Saccharomyces cerevisiae S288C: one gene and its partner. The main gene of each other region encodes a partner of the protein of the gene in region 2 in a complex. Each region holds a gene or a part of one and is shown on either strand. Other genes may lie near its edges. The genes, in order: COP1 and SEC28. A codon is read from its position in the direction of its gene.

What was found.
Region 1: the proteins of SEC28 (region 2) and COP1 are in contact, whole or in part, in a crystal structure (PDB 3MV2), measured with the Saccharomyces cerevisiae proteins. Residues at the interface, in NP_012189.2 of Saccharomyces cerevisiae: Tyr11 (codon at 5,082), Lys39 (codon at 5,166), Tyr63 (codon at 5,238), Leu67 (codon at 5,250), Tyr90 (codon at 5,319), Thr94 (codon at 5,331), Ala97 (codon at 5,340), Ile98 (codon at 5,343), Leu126 (codon at 5,427), Leu127 (codon at 5,430), Glu130 (codon at 5,439), Leu133 (codon at 5,448), Leu134 (codon at 5,451), Asn136 (codon at 5,457), Val138 (codon at 5,463), Leu166 (codon at 5,547), Tyr170 (codon at 5,559), Phe173 (codon at 5,568), Ala174 (codon at 5,571), Thr175 (codon at 5,574), Asn176 (codon at 5,577), Glu178 (codon at 5,583), Thr179 (codon at 5,586), Ala180 (codon at 5,589), Lys198 (codon at 5,643), Leu201 (codon at 5,652), Gly202 (codon at 5,655), Asn205 (codon at 5,664), Leu208 (codon at 5,673), Gln209 (codon at 5,676); in NP_010136.1 of Saccharomyces cerevisiae: Glu900 (codon at 7,022), Gly918 (codon at 6,968), Phe920 (codon at 6,962), Asp921 (codon at 6,959), Val924 (codon at 6,950), Leu936 (codon at 6,914), Glu937 (codon at 6,911), Leu939 (codon at 6,905), Lys940 (codon at 6,902), Phe943 (codon at 6,893), Thr944 (codon at 6,890), Asn945 (codon at 6,887), Tyr947 (codon at 6,881), Glu948 (codon at 6,878), Gly949 (codon at 6,875), Arg951 (codon at 6,869), Thr952 (codon at 6,866), Tyr953 (codon at 6,863), Ile954 (codon at 6,860), Pro955 (codon at 6,857), Ser956 (codon at 6,854), Thr957 (codon at 6,851), Pro958 (codon at 6,848), Cys959 (codon at 6,845), Glu960 (codon at 6,842), Leu961 (codon at 6,839), Pro962 (codon at 6,836), Ala963 (codon at 6,833), Gln964 (codon at 6,830), Leu965 (codon at 6,827).

The regions. Positions count from the first base shown.
Region 1 is NC_001136.10:188,458-201,187, forward strand, and holds COP1 (coatomer subunit alpha), read right to left. Parts: upstream 9,720-12,730; coding exon 6,114-9,719; downstream 1-6,113. Other genes in the region: snoRNA-binding rRNA-processing protein NOP14, read right to left, coding at 1-2,129; proteasome regulatory particle lid subunit RPN5, read left to right, coding at 2,467-3,804; LDB17 (Ldb17p), read left to right, coding at 4,293-5,768; YDL144C (uncharacterized protein), read right to left, coding at 10,205-11,275; chaperonin-containing T-complex subunit CCT4, read left to right, coding at 11,539-12,730. UniProt on the Saccharomyces cerevisiae protein: The coatomer is a cytosolic protein complex that binds to dilysine motifs and reversibly associates with Golgi non-clathrin-coated vesicles, which further mediate biosynthetic protein transport from the ER, via the Golgi up to the trans Golgi network.
Region 2 is NC_001141.2:211,607-221,908, forward strand, and holds SEC28 (coatomer subunit epsilon), read left to right. Parts: upstream 1-5,051; coding exon 5,052-5,942; downstream 5,943-10,302. Other genes in the region: AIR1 (TRAMP complex RNA-binding subunit), read right to left, coding at 1-399; threonine--tRNA ligase THS1, read left to right, coding at 893-3,097; RCI37 (Rci37p), read right to left, coding at 3,385-4,347; proteasome regulatory particle base subunit RPN2, read right to left, coding at 6,257-9,094; phosphoglycerate dehydrogenase SER33, read right to left, coding at 9,475-10,302. UniProt on the Saccharomyces cerevisiae protein: The coatomer is a cytosolic protein complex that binds to dilysine motifs and reversibly associates with Golgi non-clathrin-coated vesicles, which further mediate biosynthetic protein transport from the ER, via the Golgi up to the trans Golgi network.

The DNA of each region.
Region 1 (12,730 bases), on a different chromosome or scaffold from region 2:
ATGGATACGGGTTTGTGGTTCTGTAAAGCCAACGGAATATGTTCTGTGAATTTCGTTAATTTTTCAACTTTGTTCAAAATATTTCTTGGCTTTTCAAAATCAGAATACTTTGAGGTGTATGCACTTAATAACTGCTGAATCGGTAAAATAATTTCATTGAAAGCAGGTAAGCTCTTCCACACAGTAGAGATAGTTGCATCTAAAGATTCCATAACATTTAGTAAAACGGAGACACATTGATCAACCGGATGTGCCTCGGTATCCATTGTTGACAAGGTATGTAATGGAATAATAGTTGATCTCTTTTTTGTAAAGTCAACGTCCAATGGAAGCCCCAACTCGTAAGAGTCTAGTCTAATATTTTCAAAATCTAATGGTTTTTCTTGATTTTCTTTCTCAACTATAAAAGTGAGTAATATTTTTTGAAAGAAGTAAACCACCTCCGGTATGTACCGTTTGGAAATGCGTTGATATTGTGAAACAATCCTTACCAAGACAGCGCCAAAAGCTATCCTCTTTAAAGAATTAAACTTGATTTGTTCCAGGAACTGGCTCATTAAAATCAATGCTGGAGTTATTACTAAATGGTACTGGTCCGAGGTGGAGAAAAGAATACCAATAATGGAAAAAAATACCAGATCACCATTTGATAGAGCATCAAAATGGTTCTTTTTATAGCGTGCTTGCATTTCATTGATATAATCTCTACACTCCTCGGAAAGCTCTCTATTATATTTCTCTGAAAGGGATTTTAGAATTGAGATCAATGCATTTTGTGTACGTTTAAAACTTTGAACGTTTTTAAGGTAGTTTTGATTGCTTAGAAAAATGATGTGTCTCAGTAAAACAGCGGTGAATTTTCCTAACTTTTCCTTATTACCTTCAGCCAATTTTGGTTGGTAAGCTTTGATAATATTCTTAACAATCTTAGGATGATCATCTAAGTCTAATTTTTTTACTTGATCTAATAACGCATCATGAGTTCTAGGGCATGAAATGGAAATGTTCTTTTTCTTTAAAATTTGAGAAAACCCTTCATCTCTGCCTTGATCTTCAAATTTGATATCATCATCAGAATCAGCAATACCGTCATTATCGTCTTCATAGTCTTCTTCATTTTCCCAGAATCCATCATCCAAATCCTCTACTCCTCTTTCTTCGCCTTCTTCTAATTCAATCATACCGTTCATACGATCAAGACGCTGTTGTTCCAACTCCCGTTTTTTTTCTTCAGCTTCAGCGTTTTTCTCCTCTTCAGTTTTAGTTCTATCAGAGGGTGCAGCTCTTTTGTCCAATTGTAGTTCTTTCACTTTGATATCATACTCCTTATCTAGATCGGTCTTAGGTTCCATTGGATTCTTCTTGGGTTGCGTCATCATCAATTCAGACATAACATCCTCGAAATTATCATCCAGATTATCTATTTGATCTTCCATTATACCTTGAGCCTTTTGTCTTTCTTGTTTGTAAAATTTTGATTTGGCAATGACCTCTTTCATGACTTCAGCTTTGGTTTTTTTTCTTTGAGGTTGCTGTAGCTCAGCATCATCTTCATTGAATCGTTTGGAAGCTAAAAAATCCTCTTCATCATTGGCAAGCTCATCTTCTAGGGACAGCGATTGACCTAAATGTGTAAGACCGTCTCCAAACATGTCACCGTCGTCTTCATCGTCTTCAAGATTGAATAAATTTGCGTTTCTCTTTGATTGGCTTTGTCTTTCTCTGGTGAAACGTTCCAACATTTTTTCTTCTTCCGTCAACAACTTGTCTCTTTCACCAAATCTCTTATCGATCACACCACCACGTTTATTCTTCATCATTTTTCTTGCTTCAAATGCACGCTTTCTTTGTTCTTCACCGATCTGTTTAGAGATACCAGGCTTACCCACAGCAATACGATCAGCAGTTTTAGAAGGCAGACCATCTCTCCTCTTATTCCTTGCAGCCTTTATTTCAAACGGATTAAACTCTTCTCTGATTTCAGCAATGGCCTTTTTTTTTTCTTCACGATCATACTCCTTCGCTTGTCTTTTGGAATTCTTTTTATTCTTACTTTTGACGTTTGTTTGACCTGTGAGTCCACGGGCCTTCAAGGCGGCCTTTAAATTCTTAAGTTGTGAACCGGCCATGTATTTGATCTTCCCTTTTATTTGCTTCTCAACTGTACTATTTACAGTAATAATTAGTGCAACCTTCAGATGCTTCTCGCTAAATGCTCATCTCTAAATTATCATTATTATTCCTAATAAATCCTAAAATTTTTCACTCGTTCTGTACGGCTCATCGCCCCAATATTACCCGTCTTGTATGTGATCTTTTTGACTTTTCGGTGGCAAAATGCAAAGGGGAATCCAAGGAAAAACCATAACAGGACACTACATCAGAGATAATCTTGAATTAAGAGAGTAGAGGAATATACTGCTGGGCTCACTACCATTTTTGTTGCTAGAGTAAACGTAGAGAAAGATGTCAAGAGATGCACCAATTAAGGCTGACAAGGATTATAGCCAAATTTTGAAGGAAGAGTTTCCTAAGATCGATTCGCTCGCTCAAAATGATTGTAACTCTGCTTTAGACCAACTGTTAGTGTTGGAGAAGAAAACCAGACAAGCTTCAGATCTGGCCTCCTCGAAAGAAGTTTTGGCCAAGATTGTAGATCTGCTAGCATCAAGGAATAAGTGGGACGACCTAAATGAGCAATTGACTCTACTCTCAAAAAAGCATGGTCAGTTGAAATTGTCAATTCAGTATATGATACAAAAGGTTATGGAATATTTGAAAAGCTCGAAATCTTTGGATTTAAACACCAGAATTAGTGTCATTGAAACTATCAGGGTGGTTACAGAGAACAAAATATTTGTAGAAGTGGAAAGAGCTAGGGTCACCAAAGATTTGGTGGAAATTAAGAAAGAAGAGGGTAAGATTGATGAAGCTGCAGACATCTTGTGTGAGTTACAGGTTGAGACCTATGGCTCCATGGAAATGTCTGAGAAAATTCAGTTTATATTAGAGCAAATGGAATTGAGTATATTAAAAGGTGATTATTCCCAAGCCACGGTGCTTTCAAGAAAAATTCTGAAAAAAACTTTTAAAAATCCAAAATACGAGTCATTGAAGCTAGAATATTATAATCTTCTGGTAAAAATTAGTTTGCACAAGAGAGAATACCTAGAAGTTGCGCAGTATCTGCAAGAAATTTATCAAACAGACGCCATTAAATCAGATGAGGCTAAGTGGAAACCTGTTTTATCGCACATTGTATATTTCTTAGTCCTTTCACCTTACGGCAATTTACAAAATGATTTAATTCACAAAATCCAGAATGATAACAACCTGAAAAAATTAGAAAGCCAAGAATCTTTAGTAAAATTGTTTACTACGAATGAGTTGATGAGATGGCCAATTGTTCAAAAAACCTATGAGCCCGTCTTAAATGAGGATGATTTGGCATTTGGTGGAGAAGCTAATAAGCATCACTGGGAAGATTTACAAAAAAGGGTCATCGAGCACAATTTAAGAGTCATTTCCGAATACTATTCCAGAATTACTTTACTAAGATTGAATGAATTGCTGGACCTAACGGAGAGCCAGACGGAAACATACATCAGTGATTTGGTAAACCAGGGCATCATATACGCTAAAGTTAATCGCCCAGCCAAAATCGTGAATTTTGAAAAACCAAAAAACTCAAGCCAATTATTGAACGAATGGTCACATAATGTTGACGAACTATTAGAACATATAGAAACAATAGGCCATTTAATTACAAAAGAGGAAATCATGCACGGTTTGCAAGCTAAATGAAGAGATTTTCGAGTAAGTGTCGGATTATCTCAGATCCGGTTTTGATTTTAAATCTGTTACTAATCGAAATGTGTATTTACGTACGTGAGATAAAATTATCTATGCATATATATAACTCAAATGGAAAATGGCCACGTATTGCTCTCATTCTCTTCACTTGCTTACACAAAACATAAGGTGACAATTAATGGAATTTTAGTTTTTCAATTTTTCAGGGGAAAGAAGACACCCAAAAAAAAAGTGAAAAGTCAAAACGGTAAACTGTTTATGGTATTTAAATGACATTAATAGCAGCGTAAAGAGTCATTTTTTCGTTTGATTAGCAAAACTCTGAACATTAATTACTACACCTATAGACATATCTTTAAACAGTGAAATATTTTTTTCATTTAGTAAACAAGAATTAAACTTTGAATATTTTTTTTTCGATTAACTTATGTCACTTTAGCCTATACTTTCTTCGAACATTTTTCCTTTCATTTTGACTCATGATATTAGATCCATTATCTCCAAATATTGAAAATCATACTCAAGATGAAATAATTGAGTTTTGGGAAAAAACTGAGTCTATTGCTAACATACCAAAGGAAAACTTGGATGAATCCCATGTTAACTCAAGCCTGGTTGCCTACCTGAAGTTTGCTACTGATTCCTATAAGGTTTTTATTAATACTGATCGTGACCTCTACCGGATGTCGCTAATACTGTTAGAATCGTCCTTATTTGAATTTAAAAAAGAGTTTTGCCTAAGTAAGTTGCAGTCGTTACTCAACATAGACCTACTGGAAATGAATATGAAGTTCATTATTGTTTACATTCTTCTCTGTGAGGCGAAAAAAAACGTGTACTCCTTAGAAATCATGCTCAAGTTCCAAGGATTTACTGTGTTTTATAATACCTTGTACACACAATTCGCCTATTTGAGCAAATACGGAAAGGAAAGGACAGTTGCTTCTAAACATCAATACAATTCTAATAATTCTAGCACAGGTACATCCTTGGACAGTTTAGACCGAAGTTTGACTGATATTGATTTGGGTATTATAGACGAAATGAAGCAAATTTCAACTGTTTTGATGGATTTGTTATTTCAAATTATGAAGTACTGTAAGTGTGTTATTGCTAATCTTCAAATTGTGGATGACTTTTTTGTTTACTATATGATGGAATCAATGAGGTCCGACACTATGGACGATATGTTCAATAACGCGGAGTTTAAACTGCTGTTGGCGTTGAACGAACAATATATGATGTTTGCCAAGGAGTACGACATTGAGAACAAGGTCTATAAGTATTTGATCAATGGGTCTGTCTCAAGATGTTTTACGGAGCTATTATTACTGAAATTCAATAGGGCATCGGACCCTCCGTTACAAATTATGATGTGCAAAATTATTTATCTTATCTTGACACCAAGAGGAGACTACTCTCCGATGAATTTCTTTTATACAAACGACTTACGTGTTCTTATCGATGTATTAATCAGAGAACTACAGAATATCAGTGAGGATGAAGAGGTATTGAGAAACACCCTTCTAAGGGTTCTGATTCCGCTATTAAAGAATACACAATTATCCAAAACACATTATAGAAAGGATGATTTGAATAAACTATTAAACTACTTGTCGACTTTAGATAATATATGCGTTGACAGTCCAGCGTTGCACGAGCATCAAGTTACAGTGGCCTTATCTCGGAAGTGTCTTCAACAAATTCCTTGGTTAGAGACACCTTCAACGCCTTCAGATGGAGGTTCATCGGTCTCTAGTAATAACACTAGTAGAAACTCTAGCATTGTTGCATTGGGGACGCCCGACAATCAAAATATCTTGGCTCGTAAAGGCCATCTTTATAGTAATCGTGAATTAGATGTTTCTGCAGAATCTTTGACTAAAAGAAAGGCTAAAGCTCCGCCTCCGCCTCCTCCTCCTCCTCCATCAAGAAAATGTGGAACTCCAAAATAAGTAAAGCATTATTTCTTCTTGCATTAATGTGGTTCTTCCGACCATTTCTTCTTCTACTCACTGCAGTATCTAATGACACATTGTACTTTTTATATACAAATGCAACAATCGTAACTATAAAACTAAAGTTCGGGTTGCTTCCGAATACATGCTGGCAGAATTTCAGGTTGTGTGTCACTTGTTAAAATAGGCGATATTTTTTATTTTAGAAGTTGTATATAACTGTTAATTACATAGTCAGTTTTTTTTTTTCACTATCATATTGTTTAGATTAAAAGGACTTGTCACATGAAATTTAGGTCGAGCAGAATACAATCCCGAGAAAATCAATAGGCAAAATAGCATTTATACACGTATTCTTAATCCGGATGCAGGTGCACCGATCTTAGAAATCATAGCAATTCTATCTATTTTATCTTTTTCCGTGATAACGTATTTACTACCTGTTAATGGGTCAGAAACGGAAGGTGTATCTTCATAAATTGGTTTGTAGGTGGCTGCACAAATATCGAATTTAGCATAAGGATCAAAGTCAATTGGAATGGCGTCACTGGCCATTGAGTCGGCTTTGTTTTTGATTTTACGTGCTTGTTCTGCACGAGGACCAGAAGAAATAATCTTTAAAAATTCACCGGCAAAATATGAGGCCTGTAAGAAATTTTTGTGTTTGAAATGTTGGGACATAGCCACTTGTAAAGCATTGGTACGATGAATTGGGGATAGTTTTGCCTTTGTAAAGTATGCAGCTAGCTCAAGCATGCGTACAGTATTTCCCTCCTTTAATGAGCGGCGTTCCAATTCAATGGATAAACCTAATATATACTCCCTAGCAGTTTCCAGTATCTTGTGTGCTAATTTTTCATCTTCAGCATCATCGACCATTAATAGCGTAATACGGTAGATAGCTTCTCTGAAGCATTCGATTGCAATATCTGGTTTGTTTAGTTTAAAGTTTTTGTAACCCTCATTCATTTTTTCATTAACGACATCAAGACCTGGCACGTAAGGAAGAATTTGATCTTCACTTACGGTATCATCATACGCTCTGACATAACCTAATTGAGCAGGAAGTTCACAGGGCGTACTAGGAATGTATGTTCTACAACCCTCATAAATGTTGGTAAAATATTTCTTCAATGGCTCCAGCTTGACTACACCCACTTGCTTGCTCAAGGCTTGAACAGCGGCATCAAAGGCACCAGCGGCAACTAGGACAGCAGGCAGTTTAGAATTCTTGATCCAAATGGCTGTTTCAACTTCCTGTGCTGGAGAGGTAATTTCGCCTTGCTCAACTTCTTCAGGTAACTCTTCTCCCACATCCAAATCTTCGTCACCCAAATCCCAGGCACCTTCGTCTTCACCAATATCCTCATCGTTAAAGTTTTCTTCGCCTAGTGGTTCTTCTTGCTCTTGAGTGGTGTTTACTGCTGGAGTTTCATCGTCTATAGTCAAATCGTCAATTTGACCTAAAACAGCCTTTTCAAAGTAAGATAGTTCAGCCTCTTTTAATGGCCATTTTTCAAGTGGCTTTGAGATCACTGGTCTTTGAACGAAGTTGGAGGCATCCATCTGGTCTGGTAAAGTAACATCTTGTTCATCAACTTCAGCTTGCTCCAAGAAAGCAGAAGCAGCCGCTTCATCTCCGTTAGCCTTTGCTACGGCATAAGCTAATGGTAAAGAGCCGCCCTCTGCAAAAATGCTAGATCTTTCCTTGGTTGAATTGTTGTAAAAGGTGTTTAATAGCATACTTCCAAAGTCTTCACGAGTCTGAGCGATATTTTGCATTTTAGATAGTTTGTTAACGTCACCTGTAACTAAATACAGGAAGGAAAGTTTGTCAAAAGAATGTTGAGTTTGATAAATCATTTCAGCTAAGCTGGCATTACCTTGTGCCAAGGCTTCTTGGATTAATCTTTCCCAAGTACTAGAATCATTCAGTTTTTTGGCTTCATCTAAGGCAACATCCAAATTACCGTATTCCAAAGCTAAATCAAAACGGATATGTGGGTCTTGAACGAATTGTAAAGCAATTTCTGGGTAACCTGACTTCTGCAGATAGGAAATGATATTCTGGCCAACCAAATTAGAATCTTTTATCAGACGTAAAACTTCTGGGAAATTTTTGTTAACCAGGGCCTTTTTGAAGCGATATTCTGTAGGATCAATGGTTAAAATTTCAATCTCACCTTCACGGTTCAAGCAGTACACTAATTTTCCCTGAACTTTTGTGATATATAAAGTTTTCTCCAAAGTTTTAATAATACCTCTATCCCCGTTCAATAGTGAGTACCTTATATGATTTAAAGTTGAATAAATTAATACACCAGTTTCATCCCAAGCGGCACTTTTGATTCTAATCGTTTCATGCATAGAATTAATCAATTCTAGCTTTTTGGTAGCCAAAGTTATGGTGTGCTTACTCATCAATGCAACATATTGACCATCTAAGGACCACGAAACGTACTTGACGTTTTTAACAGCCAATTGGGATACTTTTTTGCCCTGTTGGACATCATAAAGAATAACTTCTCTGGGGTGTATGACCAAAACAGATCCAGGACCTGCAGCTACAATAGTTCTTACTGTTTCCTCTACTTTGATATTTCTTGTAACTTTGTTTTCGAGAGAGCGAACTTCAACAGATTCAGTGTTCTTGTTGTAAACAACAAATCTATTACGACCAACAAAAGTAGCAAAATTACCTGTATCTTGGGTGACACTTGTTGGCTCCACAGCTCCAACTGGTTGTTTTGGTAAAATAACGAGAGCAAATTTGCCATTAGCTTCATTAACCAAAACTGAATGTTGGGAGGGATTGTACGATATACTTCTGAATGCATCCCAAGGTTGACCAATACCCTTTAAGGACGCATAAGGTAATGAAGCGACTCTTTTCTGGAAATTGAAACTTTGGATTTGCTTTTCCGCATTGACAAAAAACAACTGGTTTTGATGGATAAAGCTGCATGGTCTTTCGCGATCGAGCTTGAAAACCATAATACCAGAATCGTGAGCTGCACCAAATAGATTGATATGAGGATGTGCTGCAATCAACCAAAATCTATCGTTTTCTCTTTTGAATTGCTTTACTGGAGTTCTCTTGTCAAGATCCCAAACCCTTAGCGTTTTGTCTTCACCGACAGAAATGATCAAGTTTTGATGTGGGTGAAAGATAACACTATCAACATTGTTAGTGTGACCTCTGCAAGTATCAACTTCCCAAGCTTTCGTAGCACTCATTCTCCATAATTTAACTTGACGGTCGTCACTGCCGGAGACAATCAATGGTAAAGTTGGATGGAAAGAGGCCCAGTTGACACCTCTTGTGTGACCCTCTAGAATAAACTTGACAACACAGTCACCAAGAGAGCCATCCAATAGATTTTGTTGTGCACTCATTTGCTCCTCAAATGAACTAGTACCAGGAGCGGAGTGTCTTTTCCTTAAACCGGAAATATCCCAAATTCTGATGGTTTCATCCAGAGAAGCGGAAACGATCAGGTCATCGGTTGGATGAAATTGAGCACACATGACAAAATGATTGTGGCCGGTCAAACATGCAATTTCCTTACGGTTTTGCCAGTTCCAGATTCTTATGGTCTGGTCATCAGAAGCAGATATGATCCAAGGCAGCTCACGGTGGAAAAACACGGTACGGACATAATCCAAATGCCCAGTTAAGGTGTATAGACATTTGTTAGTATCTAAGGACCAAACTTTAATGGTATAGTCGTCACCTGCCGAAACAAAAATCGGTTGGGTTGGATGGAAATCTAGCCCACGAACAGGGCCCTCGTGGTCTTCAAATCTGTGAAGTAGTGTTCCCATCCTGTAATCCCATAATTGAATAGTAGAGGAAAACAAAGCCACCAAAACCCAAGGTCTGGAGGGGTGGAAGGCAATGCCCTTGGCCCTAGTGGACTTTGATTCAAATTTAGTTAACATCTTCATCTTGATCCAGTAATGAAATGAACAAAGACACTACAGAAGAAAAAAAGTATACTGATTTCAGGTTAAATAAACCGCGAATTTGTAAACAGGTATGATAATGTTTTTATTCAAAAGTGTAAAGGGAAGATAAAATAAAAAGAAAAAACTTTATATCTTAAGCAAAGAAGGGGGTAAGTAACAAATGTTTGGAAAATCCTGCTGGTTTCGCCAATTCTATGATTTACCTAATTGCAATGCCTCTTCAAACAAGTTTGTGGTCCCTGTATGCTACTGAATCGAGGCTCAATCGTCACAGTCTCGAAGACGGATCTGTTATTTATTCAAGTTGGCAAATTGTCGATTTCGTTTCGTGTTGTCGAAATTTTCGGTCGCTCTGTACGTCGTATAAATGCTGACAATAAGAATAATAGTTAAGAGTACATACTAAATTATGTGTTACAATATACTAGATGAAGGCTCGTCAACGAGGCAAGCAATGGTTGGAACTACTCGTCCACAAGAGTGGCAGTTTTTTCGTCGAACTTCAATAGGCCTTTCCGCTCCTTTAGTTTGGCCTGTACTAGCACAAGTAGGTTGTATAAGATAGAAAGAGTGGGTGTAGCGACGCCGTTTCTTTTCGCGATTCTTATGGGGTTGCCTAGGATGACTTCTAGCTCCATCAATTGGCCCTTCTCGCAGTCCACGCACATGGATGGCTTGAACACCTTTTTCCTGGTAATCTCTGTAAACATCGTTATGAACTCCTCTTCGATAATGATGCCTTCACTCGCCGCAATGGCGATGATCTCCCTCATGGCAGGGTGGAACACTTCAATTTCTGTGCTCTTCTTGTTAACCCCAAACTCCAGGCAACGCGGAACGTCTAGCCCCACAAGTGCCGTGGATGTGTTGATAGCTGCATTGTAGAGCAACTTCTTCCACCGAGAGTAACGGACCCTAGGGTCAAATTCGACAAAGTTTTGCCCCTCGTTGCTGTACATCCTGACGAAGTCGTTGGCAGCCTGGATAGCAGCAGCGTCCTGTGGATCAAAAGCTCCACACGATAAGTGGTCCTGGCCCACTTGACTGATATGGCCTGACCCGATCTTAGTGGATCCGATTAACTGGATGCCAGAAAGCACCGTGTAACGATACTGCTCTCTGGGAAATTCCGCCCATATCTCCTTCTCAATATCGATTCCGTTCTGTACCAGTAAAATGTGTGTCGTCAATTGCGGCCCATGTAGCTCTTTATTCTTCTCAAGCACAGGTCTGATGATGTTGGACACCCTTGAATTAACGGGCCCATCTATGATGTTCTTGGTAGTCACTACAATATAGTTGTATCCTTGGTTGTCTGCGGCAGAAGCAGCGTCCTCGACGCTGCTGTAAATATGGTGGGGTCTCCAACCTTCTAACCGGCCATAGTCACATGATTCGATTGTGTAGCCATGCTTCAATACCCTATCGTAGTCAGATCTGACTACCAAGGAAACGTCGCTCTCCTTCTTAAGCCACAACGAAAGCGCAGTAATGACCCCAACGCCACCTGCCCCGATAACTAGTATTCTAGACATTTTCGACATTAGCTTATGCCAACTTGTATCCTGGCACCGGGACTGTAGTTTATGAGGTATATCAATATGTCCTAATTAAGGCTATATAATTTGGTATTACTATCACTTGCCACGGGGAAACTGAAATTTTTTTCGTTTCGCCACCAAGAAAGGCTAATTGAATACAGTTCAAGAGGTTGATATAGCTAAGTGGGCATGAAGGTTATGAATTGTAATTGGAGGTGCGGCAAGTGTGCAAGACGGGTAAAGGAGAGTATAGAACGATGTCTGCTAAAGTTCCATCTAACGCCACGTTTAAGAACAAGGAAAAACCTCAAGAGGTTCGCAAAGCCAACATCATCGCTGCACGTTCTGTTGCAGATGCCATCCGTACTTCATTGGGTCCCAAGGGTATGGACAAGATGATTAAGACATCTCGTGGAGAAATCATCATCTCTAATGATGGCCACACCATTCTAAAACAGATGGCCATTCTGCATCCGGTGGCCAGAATGCTAGTAGAGGTTTCTGCCGCGCAGGACTCGGAAGCCGGTGATGGTACCACTTCTGTGGTGATCTTGACCGGAGCTCTATTGGGTGCTGCTGAGAGGCTGTTAAACAAGGGCATCCATCCAACCATCATTGCGGACTCCTTTCAAAGTGCTGCGAAGAGATCTGTCGATATTCTTTTAGAAATGTGCCATAAGGTTTCGTTGAGCGATAGAGAACAGCTGGTTCGTGCTGCATCCACTTCTTTGAGTTCCAAGATTGTGTCTCAATACTCTTCGTTTTTGGCGCCCTTGGCAGTGGACTCCGTATTGAAGATATCTGATGAAAACTCTAAGAATGTTGACCTGAACGATATCAGACTGGTCAAAAAAGTTGGTGGTACCATTGATGACACAGAAATGATAGATGGTGTGGTCTTGACACAAACGGCAATCAAATCTGCTGGTGGTCCGACAAGAAAGGAAAAAGCAAAGATTGGGTTAATTCAATTCCAAATATCTCCTCCAAAGCCCGACACAGAAAATAATATCATCGTTAATGACTATAGACAAATGGATAAGATCCTTAAAGAAGAAAGAGCGTATTTGCTAAATATCTGTAAAAAAATTAAAAAGGCCAAGTGTAACGTGCTGTTGATTCAGAAATCCATCTTGAGAGATGCGGTAAATGATTTGGCTCTTCATTTCTTGTCAAAATTGAACATAATGGTGGTAAAGGATATCGAGAGAGAAGAAATCGAGTTTCTGTCGAAGGGCTTGGGTTGTAAGCCAATTGCTGATATAGAATTGTTCACCGAAGATAGATTGGGTTCCGCTGATTTAGTTGAGGAGATCGATAGCGATGGTTCCAAGATAGTTAGAGTAACTGGTATAAGAAACAATAATGCAAGACCAACCGTCTCTGTTGTTATTCGTGGTGCAAACAACATGATCATTGATGAAACAGAGCGTTCCCTCCATGATGCAC
Region 2 (10,302 bases):
CTTCTTCCATTTATGAGGACACTGTGATTTATAATGGCCGTTTGCATTACAATTAGTGCAAATAATAGCCTTAGGGCAGTGTTGTGAGTAATGATCATCCATAAACCCGCAGTAAGTACATATCACATGGGGACAATTCCTTTTCAAATGACCTCTTTGCGAACAATTATTACACTTTGGCTCTGCCTCCATTATCGCACCGTTTGAGTCATAATCTGTTATTCCAAAATACCGTCCTTGGCCACGTAAAGTCCTCAGTTCCTCTGGGTTAGCATCTACATCCTCTATGGAAGGAGCCAATAATTTATTAAATGATGACGAGTCACTTCCTGTCGGTGTTGTATCCTTCACATACGGCAAAGTATCGATACTTTCTACCTCAGATAACAATGTCGACATAATATCTTAGCTCCGTGGTCCGCTTCCTTTGTATTCCTCATGTGAGAATGTTGGACCTTTCCCACTCATCGCATCGCTAATTTTTAGTAATTTTTCATTTTTTCATGGACCAAGAAATTGAAAAGCCTGTCAATGAGCTTTAACAGTAGCAAGAAACAAAGACAAAGGACAAGCGCCTATGGAAGTCACTTTAGAAATATTGAAGTCACATTTTCATATAATATATAAATGAATTTACAGATGTGCCATTGTATATGCTGACGCAAACGCTTTCTTTTTACTGTTTAAATGACTCTTACCTTGTGATATGTATAAATCATCATATACGGCTATCTTGCTAAAAAATTTTTTTCGAGGAATTTTCACTTGAAAAAAATACTTGCGATGGCAACAAAAGAAAGTTAGATAAATCGTGCATTAAATGATGTGTCATCTGAAAGATTACAGGTTAACGAAAAATTAACAGCTAACAGAGCAAGAAAATAAAACGGAGATGAGTGCTAGTGAAGCAGGTGTCACTGAGCAAGTCAAAAAGCTGTCTGTCAAGGATAGTAGTAATGATGCCGTAAAACCAAATAAGAAAGAAAACAAAAAATCCAAGCAACAGTCCTTGTACTTGGATCCTGAACCAACTTTCATCGAGGAAAGAATTGAAATGTTTGACAGATTACAAAAGGAATACAATGATAAAGTTGCTTCTATGCCACGTGTTCCATTGAAGATTGTCTTGAAGGATGGAGCCGTTAAGGAAGCCACTTCTTGGGAAACCACTCCGATGGATATTGCCAAAGGAATTTCTAAATCTTTAGCAGACAGGTTATGTATTTCTAAGGTTAATGGTCAATTATGGGACTTAGATAGACCATTTGAAGGCGAAGCCAACGAAGAAATCAAATTAGAACTGCTAGATTTCGAATCTGACGAAGGTAAGAAGGTCTTTTGGCATTCGTCTGCCCACGTCTTGGGTGAATCTTGTGAGTGCCACCTAGGTGCCCATATTTGTTTAGGTCCTCCAACTGATGATGGGTTCTTTTATGAAATGGCTGTTAGAGATAGTATGAAAGATATATCTGAATCTCCAGAAAGAACCGTCTCCCAAGCTGATTTCCCAGGATTGGAAGGCGTTGCCAAGAATGTTATCAAGCAAAAGCAAAAATTTGAAAGATTGGTCATGTCCAAAGAAGATCTTTTGAAAATGTTTCATTATTCGAAGTATAAGACTTACTTGGTACAGACAAAGGTTCCAGATGGAGGTGCTACTACCGTCTACCGTTGCGGTAAATTGATTGATCTATGTGTCGGCCCTCATATCCCACATACTGGGCGTATCAAAGCTTTCAAACTATTAAAGAACTCTTCTTGTTATTTCTTAGGTGATGCGACAAACGACTCTTTACAAAGAGTTTACGGTATCTCTTTTCCAGACAAAAAATTAATGGATGCTCATTTGAAGTTCTTGGCGGAAGCCTCTATGAGAGATCACAGAAAGATTGGTAAAGAACAAGAATTATTCTTATTCAATGAAATGTCCCCAGGTTCTTGCTTTTGGTTACCTCATGGTACTAGAATTTACAACACTTTGGTTGACTTGTTGAGAACCGAATACCGTAAGAGAGGTTACGAAGAAGTCATCACTCCAAACATGTACAACTCCAAATTGTGGGAAACCTCAGGTCACTGGGCCAATTACAAGGAAAACATGTTTACTTTCGAAGTAGAGAAGGAAACTTTCGGTCTAAAACCAATGAACTGTCCAGGTCATTGTTTGATGTTCAAGTCTAGAGAACGTTCTTATAGAGAATTGCCATGGAGAGTTGCAGACTTCGGTGTTATCCACAGAAATGAATTTTCTGGTGCCTTGTCTGGTTTGACTCGTGTCAGAAGATTCCAACAAGATGATGCTCATATCTTCTGTACCCATGACCAAATTGAGTCTGAAATTGAAAATATTTTCAACTTTTTGCAATACATTTACGGCGTTTTTGGATTTGAATTTAAGATGGAATTGTCCACTAGACCAGAAAAGTACGTTGGAAAGATCGAAACCTGGGATGCCGCTGAATCAAAATTAGAATCTGCCTTAAAGAAATGGGGTGGTAACTGGGAGATCAATGCTGGTGATGGTGCTTTCTACGGTCCAAAGATTGACATTATGATTTCTGACGCTTTAAGAAGATGGCATCAATGTGCCACCATCCAATTAGATTTCCAATTGCCAAACAGGTTCGAATTGGAATTTAAATCTAAAGATCAAGATAGCGAGAGTTACGAAAGACCGGTCATGATCCATCGTGCCATTTTAGGGTCTGTTGAAAGAATGACTGCCATTTTGACCGAGCATTTTGCTGGTAAATGGCCATTTTGGTTATCACCACGTCAAGTTTTGGTTGTGCCAGTTGGTGTCAAGTACCAAGGGTATGCTGAAGACGTCCGTAACAAATTGCACGATGCTGGCTTCTATGCCGATGTCGATTTGACCGGTAACACTCTGCAAAAGAAGGTCAGAAACGGGCAAATGCTAAAATATAACTTCATTTTTATTGTTGGTGAACAAGAAATGAATGAAAAATCTGTTAACATTAGAAACAGAGACGTTATGGAACAACAGGGTAAAAATGCTACTGTTTCTGTTGAAGAAGTTTTGAAACAGTTGCGTAACTTGAAAGATGAAAAGAGAGGTGACAACGTCTTAGCTTAATGAGATTTTATGTAGTTAAATTTTGACTTATTTAATTTATGTTTTGTAAAGAATAAAATGAGTATGATGAAGGAATCTTACCTCTATTAACTATTTCTTCTTTTTTTTTCCTTCGATAAGATGTGCGCGAATTCAATATGGAAGAAAGCAATTTGGTATGCAGATGGTGTTCACCGGCAGTGTTTAAGTTACGAATATATAAAAACAAATTCAGGAACCCGCCGAATTTGGCCCAAACATATACCTATATACAAATTAGTGACCATACGCTATTATTACTCCGTCGTCTAGGAGCGGTTCCCACCATATCTCCCGCTCTGCAGTAAACGCTGATATTTGTCATCAGAAGAGGAATTATCGGTAGCATTACCATCGTCAGAAAATCCTGAGATAAATATATCGGATTCATGATCCACTGAAGCATCTGATTCCTGCGACTGATCTCTACTGGTGTTCCTTATATTTTCCCATGATGAAGACGAACTGTTGTCGCCGTTCCTGATTTTTTCCCAGGAAGACAGAACAGGACTGTCGTTTTGCTCTCCTTCAATTGGGTCAGGAGATTTTCTACCCTTATTACGATACAATCCTATAGGATCCCTTTGGTTCATAAAGGGCGAGCCGTTAAAAACTCCGCCTTTTTTCATTTGCTGCAGTTTGACTTTCGGGTCTGGCAATCTTCTCTCCGGATTTTGGTACGTTATGTAAAAGTACATCGACCACCTTGAGGGGGAGCCTGAATCTAATAAGCGCATCATATTGTACTGCCTTTGATTTCTCGGAATTTCTTTTGTTTGATCATGTTGAAAGGCTCCAAAGTCGTTGTCACCATATTTGTTGGAATAGTTATCCTTCAAAACACCTGTGGGGTCACGTTCGTTCAACTGTCGTGTATACATGGACCTACCAGCAAAATTTGTAGCAAAAAATAAAGCCATTACACCCAAGACAAAATTCCTCGGCACCTTAACACCTTTAATAGCCTTGGTCTTGTAGTAACGATAGGCAAATGGAGTTAAAAATACAGCTGAAAACCCAAGCCAACCACCCCACATCTCAGCTTTAGCAATGGATCTATAGGCCTTCGATAACTCCAGCCTGTCTCTTGCATCCAGCAATTCGTCTTTTTCATGAAATTCAATAGCATTTTCATAAGCCTTTTTAAACCAAGGCCTCTTCATAAAGGGTAGTTCATTTTCCATTCCCTTACCATTCTGGCCATATTGCTGTTCTTCTTCTTTTCCCAACATCACCTTGTTCTACGCTTGAAATTAGGCTGCTCCTTAAAACGAAAATCATATTAAGCATTGACACATAAAAAGTTCTGTTCTGCGTCAAAGTAGCATTAGCTCATAAGGCTTTCACCCTTGCTTGACTTACACCCGCGGAAATAAAAACACAGAAAAAGAAGGAAATAATGTATAAACAAGTAACTATGAACGAAATTTCCTGTTACGGATTGTTACGCTAGCTATTAAAATTCGTCTCGTCAAAGATCGACTGTAGCAGCGTGCTGCTGATGTCAAAGAATTGGGAGCCACAAGCTGGTGAAATGGTATCTGTCTTAGTACTCACAACATTCTAGGCTGCAAAAGAGGTTATACCGGAACAATAGTTGCTAAAATGGAATTCAGGAGATGGCTCCAACGCAACGATCAGGACGCCCGCTGATCTCACTCTTTAGTGTCCACACTATATAGTAACATTACATTCAATTGGAACCGTAATGTTGTATAAAATCTTTTGTCTTGCTGTATAGGTGCGTATGCAGCGTCTTCAATGGGATAAAGATATTCTATTTTTAATTTTTAAGGTGATCTTAATTTTTTGTTGGTTCTTTTTCAGTTTTTTGTCAAGCGAAAAACTACAGTTTCTACAGAAAAACACGTCAAGCTACAGTATAAGAACGGATTGTGAAGAACTCGGTGGAGAACATAGAAACAGACAAAAAATCATGGATTACTTTAATATCAAGCAGAATTACTACACGGGGAACTTCGTGCAATGTTTGCAGGAAATAGAGAAGTTTAGCAAGGTCACAGATAACACCTTATTATTCTACAAGGCGAAAACCCTTTTAGCTCTAGGCCAATATCAATCACAAGATCCTACCTCTAAGCTTGGCAAGGTACTAGACTTGTACGTCCAGTTCTTAGATACAAAAAACATTGAAGAATTAGAAAATTTGTTAAAGGATAAACAGAATTCACCATATGAATTATATCTGTTAGCCACGGCTCAAGCTATCTTGGGTGACTTAGATAAAAGTTTGGAGACATGTGTAGAAGGGATTGACAATGACGAAGCAGAAGGGACTACAGAATTATTGCTGCTTGCCATCGAAGTCGCTTTGTTAAACAACAACGTTTCGACCGCGTCCACCATCTTTGATAACTACACTAATGCTATTGAGGATACTGTTTCCGGTGACAACGAAATGATTTTAAACCTGGCTGAATCGTACATTAAATTTGCCACAAACAAAGAAACGGCAACATCCAACTTTTACTACTATGAAGAGCTATCTCAAACCTTTCCTACTTGGAAAACTCAATTGGGATTGCTCAATTTGCATTTACAGCAAAGAAACATAGCTGAAGCTCAGGGTATTGTCGAGCTATTACTATCTGACTACTATAGCGTCGAACAAAAAGAAAACGCCGTATTGTACAAACCTACTTTCTTAGCAAACCAAATTACGCTTGCTCTTATGCAAGGTCTTGATACTGAAGATTTAACAAATCAATTGGTTAAATTGGATCACGAACATGCATTCATCAAGCATCACCAAGAAATTGACGCAAAATTCGATGAATTAGTGAGGAAATATGATACGTCCAACTGATTTACGTAATATCTCACATTAAACATGTAGGTTTTTTAGAAAAAGAAAAAAATATTTCATGTATATGCCTATATACTATTTTGATAAAGCCGAATAAGATGGTACCATAAATGAGGTTGACATGGCTTGAACAAAATCATATAAAGTATAATTAACAAAGCGGAAACAACATTTGTCACGTTAGAATTATGCGTAAAGTAGCTAATCCTGGCAGAATAATTCAATGATTTTTTTTTAAAAGTATGTACACTATTATTTATTTTCTGGCATTTTGAACTAATTCTTCATTTTCTGTACGACCATGCACCCTTGATCTAAGCACTAGGGAAGTCGACATTATCATCGACCTTAAATGGGGTTGGAAGTGGAGCGTTAACATCTTTCATTTGCCTAACAGTTTCAATTAGTGCTACAGGTTCCTTGGGTTCCCTATCTCTTAAAACCACCACACCGTTATTTCCTTTGAATTTACGTACAGGAACAAATCTGTCGTCCTTAATAAAGGAAATATATCTCGATTGTTGTGGTAGTATACGGGTCATATTGTCGACTTTATAAGGTTTAGAAGAGTACTTATTTTTGTAAAATTCTTCGTCGTTTTCTTTTGTTTCTTTTATGCCTTTTTTATTCGTCTCTCTTTCCTTTTCTTTTTCCTCATGCTCTTTTTTCTTTTCTTCCTCATTTGGACCCTTTTCCTTCTTTGTCTTCTTTGCCCTTGCTTTTGCTCTTGCTGTCGTGGAAAGAACAGCTGTTGCTACCTTCTCTACCTCCTTACCACTTGCTTCCTCATACATCCTCGGATAACTGAATGCATCTTCTTTAGCGTAACAATTCATTTGAAATTTGGGTATAGCTTGATCGCTACCACGAATACCAATGACAGTTGTTGGTGTAAAAGAAAGGGATAAAAAGTGAGCCAGTGGGAACCAGTACCAGAATTGTGAGAACATGACCAAACCAACTACGGACTTGGTATCCAATGTGCCTGTATCCGCATTTTCCAGCTGAATTGTAACATTACGCCCACCGGCATTCATTATACCTTGGGCCACACATGCACCGAATTTGGCTAAACCTTCTTGGTGTTTGTTTGTAATCACGCTCAAAAAATTTTTGTTAATATCAGCAACTTGAGGGTTTAGTTTTTCTGTTTGTTGAATCAAAATCATGGATAAAGCTATCATGGCAGCCTGACGAACAAAATCTACTGGGTCCTTTGTTAGCGGATCTAAAACGTCAATAGCTGATTGTAAACCCTTGCCGGCACAAGCAATCCCAAGAGCAAATGCGGTACCACATCTGACATGAGCGTTATGCGATTTAGATAGAAGTTGGACAATCCTTGGTACAGTGGTATAATCACGCAAGAGAACAAACCCTAATGCGATGACTGCTGCCCTTCTGACATCATCGTTAGAATCCGAGACTGCCACATGCAGTAATCTCTTGACAGCTGAATTATTTCCCGTACCCGCATACGCTAACGCGATTGTGAATGCACCTCCATAGCGTAACAAGGACTCATCACTTGCTAACATCTTAGTAATTAAATCATCAGCTAACTCTTGACGGCCGTAATTTATCAGTGCTAAACCAACGGCTAGACCACGAGTAATATTGCCATGCTGCGTTTCTTGGGAATATGTAAACATATCGTGAATCGCTTCAGGCTTACCTGTTCCGAGCATACAGAGACCCATACCTAATGCAGCTGCTTCTCCAGATGTGGCAGAATCGTTGTACAGAACTTCCTTTAAGGCTTCATAAACTTCAATATTAGCAGAACCCATAGCAGCAAGACCGATACCCAGTGAAGCACCATGTAACAATACATCTACGTCTTCATCGCCTGAAGTTCCGCTATTCTCAACTATTATGTTTTTCAGATAGTCAGTTGTATCACGACCAAAGCCAGCATAAATTAAACCCAAACCATACAATGAACCACCTTTGATAAACCTAGAAGAAGCTCGACTGCCTGGCAAGTAAGGGGCCATGACTTTTTTACCCTCCAATAAATTGCCTTTATGAATTACACCTAAAGAGGCTGTAGCTGTAAATTTAGCCCAATTTTGAGCCTTACCTAACCATGGCAAGTTCGCCTTGATAAATGAATTGTCGGTAGTACCAGCGTGCATAAAACCGTTGGCAACGCTGACTGCGGTGTGGAACAAAGAAAATTTCCCATCCAAAGATGATTTAGACTTGTTTAAAAGACCGATGTCAATGTTTTTATTATTCAAAAGGAAGGTATTGTAATAATCACAAGTCGGTAGCCCAGATAGAATATTCAATAAGGCAGGATCGTAACCCTGGGCAGTTAGTTCGGTTACTAAAATCTCAAGCAACTGCTGAGACGCAGACGAAACCAAATCAAATGCAATTTGAGCAGATAATCCTTCATCGTTCTCTTCCTTTAATTTTTTAAATAGCTGAAGTGCCAATCCGGCGTCATTCAAATTTACAACTACTTTATTGAGCGTTAAGTAATCGCAGTTAGGCATATTCATTAGGAAATCAAATGATTTTCTCAATATCGAGGATCTGAACTTGGAATTTGTCACAGTAGTTATAGCTAAGGTCAATAAGTAGTTAATAATTTTAACGTTTTCAGAAGTGGAATCCTGATCCAATTTGCTCTTTAAAGCACTTTCAATGATATCCAATCTGTAACCTTCTAAGGCAATTCCTAAAGCTAATTTTAATTCTGAAGCTTTCAAACATTTTTCTATCATTCGCTCAAAAATAGAGGTTAATTTTGGGTCAATAATATCCTTGGTGTAAAATTGTTCGTCCTTAGTGTATTGCTTGGAAGCCTCTTGGACGTACATCTCAATACTCTTTGAGACTATAGTTTCAACAAATTGTGACTTTTCGTCTATATCAAAACGATCCTTTGCGGCAAGTGCATACTTCACAGCCGATTCGTATTCACCAAGATTGTAATAAACTTTGGATGCAATCAAAGCAGCCATTTCACGGTCTGAAAAGGTATCGTCATCATACAATGCCTCAATATCCGGCAGTTCATTCGAGATCTCAGACCATAATTGGTCCACAACATTATTTATAGATTCTAGGGCATATGTTTTAACAGAATCTTGATTCTCTCTCAACAATGCTAAAAGAGGAGCAGCAGTCGTCAAAGACATCTTTTCCGGTTATATTTGAACTCAATCTATTCTGGGTGGTCTTTTACTGGATAGAGTTCCACAATTTTTTTTCCCTTGGATTCAAAGCATTATACTTTTATGTATCCAGTTTTGCCACCGAAAATAAATGAAATGCGCCCTTCTCCTATTGAAAAGCAATATGCTATTACCCGCACTAAACCCTCGAAATAATGGCAATAAGAGGCAGATCGAAAAAGCTCGACAGATTATCGTCCATGAATCGTGAGACAGCACTTTGTGGAGTTTAATGGGCAATCAAAGGCTATTTTTTTACTCGATTCCGTTTCAACATATCTTACATACTATGAAGATAGGGGAGGATTTTAAATCTATACATATATTTTTATTTATCTGAGTAATTAGTATAATAACCTGATGGAAACTTTGGCAGAAGTTTGGTTCAACTTTTCATATATATCCTTGATTTCACTTTGATTAACAGAAGAGATGTCTGCCATTAGATAAGCGATCTCGCCGTGAGAATCAGAAAACTGTTTCTCGATATTATGATCGGATAAGATATCATTAACGGTCTTCAAAACACCAGGAACGTTACGATGAATATACAAGACACGTACTGTGTTCTCTTGATCGTAGTCCAAAGACTTCAAACTGACTTCTGGGAAGTTCACAGAACCGACAGAGTTACCTTCATTGATGTATTTGGACAATGCAGTAGCCACCTCAATACCGATTGAACTTTGAGCTTCTTCTGTAGAGCCACCAATATGTGGTGTCAGGATTATATTTGGTAATGAAACCAACTCAGAAGTCCAGCTGTTAAGTTCATCGTTAAATGAACCTTCACCGTTCTTAGCTGGTTCATGTGGATAAACATCTAAAGCAGCACCTGCAATTTTGTTGGCCTTGACGGCTTGGATCAGAGATGGAATGTCCACGACAGTACCTCTTGAGGCATTAATAACATAAGCCCCGTCCTTCATAGCAGCGAATTGTGGAGCAGATAACATTTTTTCAGTTTCTGGAGTAGCTGGTACATGTAGTGTTACAAAATCAGATTTATTCAACAATTCATCTAATGTAGAAACTTGTCTGGCAGTACCTAAGGCCATAATTGTCACGATATCATAGTATAGCACATGCAGGCCCATAGCTTCTGCAAGAACTGATAATTGCGAACCAATGTGACCATACCCAATAATACCGAGAGTTTTTCCTCTTACTTC